Linked DNA regions of Cricetulus griseus. The protein of the gene in region 2 purifies or fractionates together with the protein of the main gene of each other region. This does not show direct contact. Links are inferred from orthologs where the notes say so. Each region holds a gene or a part of one and is shown on either strand. Other genes may lie near its edges. The genes, in order: Vdac3 and Abcc1.

The links.
Region 1: the proteins of Abcc1 (region 2) and Vdac3 fractionate together in Homo sapiens (co-fractionation; 3 studies listed by BioGRID). This does not show direct contact. The link is inferred for Cricetulus griseus from reciprocal best matches to the Homo sapiens genes ABCC1 and VDAC3.

The regions. Positions count from the first base shown.
Region 1 is NW_023276807.1:61,097,625-61,101,438, reverse strand, and holds part of Vdac3 (voltage-dependent anion-selective channel protein 3), read right to left. Parts: intron 3,251-3,814; coding exon 3,098-3,250; intron 1,510-3,097; coding exon 1,457-1,509; intron 1-1,456. UniProt on the Homo sapiens protein: Non-selective voltage-gated ion channel that mediates the transport of anions and cations through the mitochondrion outer membrane and plasma membrane.
Region 2 is NW_023276807.1:75,557,446-75,561,899, reverse strand, and holds the start of Abcc1 (multidrug resistance-associated protein 1), read right to left. Parts: upstream 2,829-4,454; 5' UTR 2,817-2,828; coding exon 2,688-2,816; intron 2,358-2,687; exon of another isoform or gene 2,293-2,357; coding exon of another isoform or gene 2,245-2,292; intron 1-2,244.

The DNA.
Region 1 (3,814 bases), about 14 Mb from region 2:
ATATTGTTTTGGTAGATGACATAATATATAGAAAAATGTTTCTAATGACTTAGCTCTACAAATGCAACGTCAACAGTTATGGTGGTACACGCCTTTAATACTGGCACCTGGGAGATAGAGGCAGGTATATCTCTGTGAGTTCCAGGAGAGCCAGGTCAGGTCTACACAAAGAATAAATATATATATATATATATATATATATATATATATACACACACACACACACACACACACACACACACACACACACACACACATATAAAGAAGCATATATGTCATTATATTCTTCACCATTAGTTGAAATAAGAGTATTTTATGATTCATCTCATAAAGGCATGAAAAAAATCATCAGATAGTTAACAGATAGGAAAATTGTTTTGAAGTTCTGTTGCACATCAGGGTCACTACATATAAAGTCCTATATATTTCAAAAACAATGCAAGGGTTTTAAATTTGCTTTCAACTAAAAAAAAAAATGATAGAGGTTTGATGAGATAGACACACTTACCCTATATGATTATATAATGTATACACATATTCAAACACTACATATTCCCTCACAGACATATATAATTTTGTCAAAAATATAAAGTCCATAACTAGTAAAATATTGCACTGCCAAACTAATAATCTGAAGATATATAAATATGTATAAATATACACAGAAATATCTTTAAATGTTTTCAAGTGCTACAAAACTAACATCAAAACACATTACTAAATTATTAGTAGAAATACACATTTTGTTGTTTGTTTTAGACAAGGTCTCAGTAAGTAGCCCTGGTTAGCCTGGAACTTGTGGAGATCCACCTGCCTGTCTCCAGAATGCTGGGATTAAAAGTGTGCACCAACACACCCAGCAGAAATATACTTTCAATAGCAATGCTGACTATTCAAAATTAGTTCTGAATAACCTTTGTCTATTAGTTCCAAATAGACTTCACATGGCTTTTAAGACAATATGTGTTCTAAAAAGCATAAGACAGGAAGGACAGTCTCATTGTTGTGTCTAAGAACAAATTCCTCTTTGCATTTATCTAGCATCTCTGCCTTCAGATAGCAGAAACTAGGTTGGGCAGTTAAATGACACAATGGGAAAATAGACTAAGCCTAGAGGACTTTCAGGGCTCAGAAATTAAGACAGCAGCACAACCACTCACCCTGGTCCCTCACAATCAGTGGATTACACTCTTGCCATGCCCATTAGTCTTTAGAATAGATAAACTATGGTCTCAGCCTTTCTAATTCCTAAACTAGCTGTACCTGTTTAAACATTTTTACTGGCAATGTGCTGCTGCCTGAGGAGTTCCTTCTTTAAAGACATACAAGTATTCTAACATTGCTAAAACAAGTTCTCAGTTTCTTTCTGCCCCTACAGCTCCCATTTTACATTTCCAATGTTAAAGTTCTAGGCCTCCGAGAAGAAATCAGATAAAAAATGGGTTTGGATAATTACCCTGTGTTTGGTACAAATATGGTATCAAGAGTCAGTTTCAACCCATCCGCCAACTGTAAAACAAAAATTTGTCAATTAATAATTAATTTTCTATTCTTCAAGTCAAAAAAGCCAATTCTAAAACTTCTTCCTATTTTCTCTTTAATTATGAATCATTAAAGAAAGCCAAAGAGTCAATTATATAATAAATAACCTCCCCCATCTTTTCTTTCTTTTTTCCAAGACAGAGTTCCTCCGTGTAGCCCTGGCTGTCCTGGAGCTTCTTCTATAGAGACCAGGTTAGCCTTGGACTCAGAGATCCACTTGTGCCTCCCCACTCACAGTGCTGGGATTAAGGCATGCACTACCACTCTCCCATCTTTCTTGATCCCCCTAACTCCCTCCTCTCAAGCCCTCCCTTCCTCCTGGCTCTCTTATCAAAATATAAATTAAACTGGCTATGGTGGCAGCATGTCCTTGTAATCAAAGCTACTCAGGAGGCTGAGGTAGAAAACCTTAAACACAGAAGTTTGCAATCAGCCTCAGTGACATAATAAGGCCACCATCTCAAAAATTTTAAAAAGGAGCCAGATGTGGTGATGCAAGCCCTTAATCCCAGCACTTGGAAGGCAGAGGCAGGTGGATCTCTGTGAGTTTGAGGCCCCCTGGTCTATAGACTGAGTTCCAGAACAGCCAGGACTATGCAGAGAAACCCTGTCTCAAAATAACAACAAACAAAAACAAAATTTAAAAGGTTAAAATGTATAGGACAAATCCTAATACATTAAATAACATAAATTGTCAAAAAGTAATTACTCCAATGTAACAAAATAATCCTGCTAATTCTCTTGAAATAACTATAAGATAACCTGACATTTAACAAAAACAAATTTCATCAGCTGTACCCCTTACTATGGGCCAATATACATAGATGTACCTTGAAAACTCAGGTGGGCACGGTGGCACACTCTTATAATTCCTGCACAGGCAGGAAAATCAGGAGTTCAAGGTCAACTTCAGCTATAAAGAAAGTTTGAGACTGGCCTATACTACATAATATCTATTCTCCGAAAGAAAATGTAGTGCCCTGTAAACAATGCATATCTAACAAAAATCAGCTACTTGGTTTTCTCCTTAAAAACATTTAAAAACTTAGAAACATTTCTGTGATTCTAAATTTGCAAAGATTACAAAGAGGATCTGTACTACACAGGAGAGGATTGACTCTGTGACACAATTAACTAATCAGAACAAAGATGCAGTGCAGATTTCTAGAAATGTTAAGACAAGCCAAGAAAATAAATAAAGGGAAAATATGGCAGGCGGCATTGTAAAAATTCCACTCAAATTATATTTGGAGTTTGTCCAATTTTTTAAAGATTTATTTGATTATTTTTAATCATGTGTATTTGTGTGTGTGTATGTGGGAGTACATACAGACAAGTGCAGCTGCTTGTGGGGCCAGAGTTATTAGATCCCCTGGAGCTGGAGTTACAGATGGCTATGAGCCACCTGACAAGGTTCTGGGAACTGAACTCAGGTCCTCTGTAAGAGCAGTAGATGCTCTTAACAGCTAAGCCATGTCTCCAGCCCCAGTAATGCTCCTTATTTGATGTGAAAGAGATATTAAACCTACAAATATCGTAAACTGCTTGTTCTTACCTTATTCTCCCAAGAGACTTCTGTCCCAAGAGTATTGTCTGTATTCCACTTTTGGGTGAAGGTGAGTCCATAGTCACAGACCTTATACTTGGTCTCTAGGTTGCCTGATGCTTTCCCTGTATCAGTATAAGCATGACCTGAAGTAGAAAATTCCTGGTAAAAAAAGAGAACATAATTATTTTAAGATGACCTCACCAAATAGAAACCATTTGTTTCAGAAAACAGTGTTCAATGTATCAGAAACTAATACAATTTACTTTTTACCACAACCCTACCATTCAACAATTTACCTCCTTCTCTCTTTTTGTTTCTAGCCAGGTTTAGAATTTTCCATTATTCCTTCTTTATTACTGATATTTATTAGTCCATACGTTCTTTTTTAATGGTCATATTAAATTCTTAACTTTAAAAGAAAAATCTCTGCCAGAAATAATTGCCTTTATTAAAAAATTTTGAAGAATTTCACTTTCATGGCCTAAGATGACTATCAATTCTCTGATATTTGTCAAACAGTAAATTTAGAGGTGCTTAAAAATCTATAAACACTACCTCTAATACTCTCTTTTTATAGGCAGCAGTTTAGTACATTGTGACTGGGAGATGAAGGTACACAGTGGGTGTGAAGGTAGGGGTGAAGAGGTGGTGGTGGGAAAGGGGTGCTGGGAATGGAACCCAAGGCTCTGCCAATATCTCTCACTGACCTATACCCTCAACCTA
Region 2 (4,454 bases):
TCCATAGCCCTAGAAGGCTGGGAAGCTTTCCCCATACCCCTATTGTACAGCTAAACTGAGGCACAGTCAGCAGTGATGACAGCTTACTCAAGATGATAAAGTCTAGCAGGGCAGGGGATGTTAACACAGTGCTGTGTGAGGCCCTAGGTCCAATCGCAGGGTGGGGATGCAGCTACCTGCCTATCAGTAGGTAGTCTGTGCTGACTGCAACACTTAGCTTTGGAAGGCAGAAGCCACTGGCTTCAGTTTGCTGTCCTTTGAGGCACTGTCTCACTCTAGCCCAAGCCTCTCTGAAACTCTTCATCCTTTGGCCTCAGCTTCCCAAGTGCTGCAACTGTAGGTATGTGCCTCCATAACAGTCTAACCGACCTACTCTGTGTTGTGTTTGGATTCTCCAGCTATAGGGAAGTGCTTGCTTGCCAACTGCTCTCTCACCCATTCTGGTTCCAGGACTCCAGAAACAGAAGCATCCAGCAAGCCTAGACCAGTGGGAGGAGGGGCATTGATGAAAATTGAGGGAGGATGGGTCCCTGCCTAAGGTGAAGGTCAGCCACCATTATTGCCAAGCACAGTTCTTCCTTCTTAATTTTCTATGGCAAGAAGTCCCTAGAAAGAGAGAACACAAAACTGGGTTTCTTGGGTAGGTTTCTAGGCTGATTAGAAGATAGAGAACACCCCAAACACTTTTTAATCATCACTTCCCATCACTTCCCGGCAATAAAATACATCCTGGTTTGGGTTGGCAAGATGCTGGCTGCCTAATGACCTGAGTTCAATCCTCAGACCACACATGCTGGAAGGAAAGAACCAACTCCCTCAGATTTCTGACTTCCATATGTGTGCCATGGTATGCATGCCCCAGTTCTACACACACACACACACACACACACACACACACACACACACACACACACACACAGAGTACAGTATGTATGTATACATATGGATGGATATATATATAAAAATAAACTGGTACAGAATCCAATGTCTAATCAACTTACTTTCGCCCACCACAAAAGAAAATAATCCAGGAAATACACCATCAACTATTTAACACTGAGCCAGATCCCACTAGATCCTTGAAGAATAATTCTGTTCTCTCCACACAAAGCACAAGGTAGAGAACACACAGGTGTTCCTCTGTGGCAAACAGGCACCAAGCCCTTGCAGACTCCAAAATGCTAATCGCTAGCACTGTTTTCAGCCCTGGAGAAACCTCCAGCCTTGTGGCTTTAAAATGGGAGTCATATCCAAGTGTGGTAAGTTTCTCAACCAAAAATGGCACCCTTCCTCACCCAAAAGACTGAAGTCTGCCAATGGGCCTTCATAGGTTGTCACTATTATGAGGGAGGTATCCCAAAACAGTACAAGAAGGAACTTGTGGGCACTAATCAGCAACTAAGAAACGAGAGTTTTTCCTGTTTCTCAAAAAAACAAAACAAAACAAAAAAACTCTTTGTGTCCAGACTGTCTATTGTATTCACTAAATAATCAGGACAGCACGATACAGGAGTGTTCTGGAACAATGGGCAAATCGCATTACAGGGACACGAAATCCACAAGCACTGGGGATTATTAGCGCAGTCAGCCAGGGAAACCAGCCTAGGGTTATTTCAGAAGAAAGCTACCTGGAGAAGGCCAGAAGTCTCCGGAACAGCCCCAGAGCAGAGCCTCAGCACCATACAGGGTGGAAGGCACTCCCCTGGGTACCAGGGTCCCGGGCATCTCCACTGCACCCCAAACCCACAGAGGGGGGGGGGGCAGAACGGCTTCCTACCCTTCTCTTGCCTTATCCTTCCTGTTTCCTCAAACTTTCCTGGTAGCATTTAGGCAGAAAGGAAGGAAAGGATGAGAAAAACCTGATGCCAACGTAACAGGGAGGTAAACAAACAGTGGGGGACCCCCAAAACAAGGGGAGTGAAGTCACTTTGTAGAGCTCCTGCCCGGTGCTCAGAGACGGGGTGTGTGCTGTGAATGGGGGATCCTTACCCCTACTGGGGACGGAAAAACCCCCACTTAATGCCTCCAGCAGAACCCCAAAGCAGAGAGGCCGCTCCCCGCGCACGCCCAGCAATCCCGGAACCGGGTCCCCAGAGTCTGGCCGCGGCGGCTGCGCCCGGGCCCGGATGGCGGGTCCCCGCGTCTGCAGAGCGGGGCTCGGGCTGGGGAGCGGCTGGACCCGCACGTCCCAGCGTTCCCCGCGACCCCTAGACCTCCCCGACCACCCCGCGGCCCACCACCTACCCAAAGCGGGTCGGAGCCATCAGAGCTGCAAAACCTGCGTAGCGCCATGCGGGTGACCGGCTGAGCGAGAAGCCGCAGCGCCGCGCGGTTGGCCCGCGTCACCGGGATGCAGCCCCGCCCCACCCGCCCCGCCCCGCGCCACCCCGCCCGGCGCGTGGGAGCAAGCCAGGCAGGCTCCTTGGTGCCCCGGGCTGGGCGTGGAGGCCTCGTCTGCAGCTCCCACCTCCTGCCGGTTCCTAACGCCGACGCGGCCGCGAGGAACCCGGCGCTGGGCCCTCCACTCCCTGGCTTCGTCCCAGGCGATCCTAACTGTACAGCCTTTCCCGTGCTGCGGGATTTGGAGCTTTTTTCCCTTCAGAATCAACTGGCGGGGGTAGGGATGTGAGCTCCCAAGAAAGAAAAGGGAACAGATGAGGGGAACAGATGAGGAAACTGAGGCTCACCGGTGAGGAAACTCGCTCAGGGCCACTCAACGAGTACAAGGGGAGTTCGTTCGAATCAGGAACCTTAACATTCCATCCTATACACTGAGATCTCCATCCTAAACGCCTGTTTGCCACCCCTCCTCCCATGGTCTGCAAAGCACCCTGGGAATTCCTCCCACTCCCCCCTTTTTTTTTTTTTTTAAGAATTTATTTATTATGTATTCAATGCTCTGCCAGCATGTATTCCTGCATGCTGGAAGAGGGCACCAGATTTCATAACAGATGGTTGTGAGCCATCATGTGGTTGCTGGGAATTGAACTCAGGACCTCTGAAAGAGCACTCAGTGCTCTTAACCTCTGAGCCATCTCTCCAGCCCTTTCTCCCACTCTAGAGTGCAGCCAGGAAATAAGTCCTTTCCTTGTGGTTTCTTGGTTTGGATTTGGGAGATTTGGGACAGGGTCTCATATAACCAAGTCTGGCCTCTAATGCACTATGTAGTGGAAGATGATCTTGAACTCCTGATCCTCCTGCCACCATTTTTTTGATACAGGGTTTCTCTGTGTAGCCCCTGACTGTCCTGGAACTCGATTTGTAGATTAGGGTAGCCTAAAATTCAGAGATCCACTCCCAAGTGGATCTCTACAATGACCACTACAATGGGCCATGCCATGCCTCCACTTCTCGATAACCTAAACAACTGGGTTAATGTGGTGCTGAGAATAGAACCCAGGACTTCCTCCGTGCTAGGCAAGCACTCTACCCAAAGAGCTATGCCACTCCAGCCCCTCGAAAATACTTTAATTTTAAAAAAATAACAATAAAGGTAAGTGAGTAAGATAAACATAATTTATGAGGATCAACCACAAGCCAGAGAATGTTAGGTACCCGAGGCAGAGGCATGAATAAAACAGGCTCCGAACCACCCCATGAAGTAGGGCTGGCAAGAACCCAGCTGCTGATGTTCATCATAGAGGCAAGGACACTGAAGCCTAGAGACATAAGACTACTTAACACTCATGGTTAGAGAGCTACTCAAGGCTCCATGCTTAACAATATACAAACATTAACCTAAAACTCACATATCAACCCATGAAGTACATAGTATTATTCTTCCTGTTTTTCAGGTTGGAGACCAAACAGAAAACAAAAGCAACTTGTCAAAGATCATTTACATGGTGAATGACCGAGCCCAGCTTTTGAACAAAGCAGTCCTGCTAAAGGTGGGGGGGGGGAGTCAGGGGAGGGAATAAATTAATAATACCACTGTGTGATGCTGCCTCAGTACTGCTTAAGACACAGAAGAGCTGGGCGGAAGTCCAGGAGTCTAAACTTTCCAATGACTCCACCAATACCTCTAGTCTCTCCTCCTCTTCTTAGGTGTCTGCCTGATGCTCAGTCTCCGTTAGCATGCACATGAACAGCTACAGCAAATAAGAACAACTGAGTACACAAATGAGAGCCCACCGACACAAAGTTCTTGGTGAAGGAAGACGGAAGGACACAGGATTTTTCTGTGATTCTTTGACTGGTCCAGGTGCCCCCTCAATATGAGTGAGTGAGTGTTTGTTTGTTTGGTTGTTGTTGTAATAGTAACATTACTTATTTGTGTGTGTATGTGTGTGGGAATGCATGGCAATTACTTGTGGAGGTCAGAGGACAGCCTGGGAGACCTATTTCTCTTGGAACCAGGGCTCCAGGGATCTGTCTCAGGTCATCAAGCCTGGCAGTAAGTGCCTTTATCTGTAGAGCCATCTCTATTAGTGAGGTTTTTGGGGTTTTGGGGG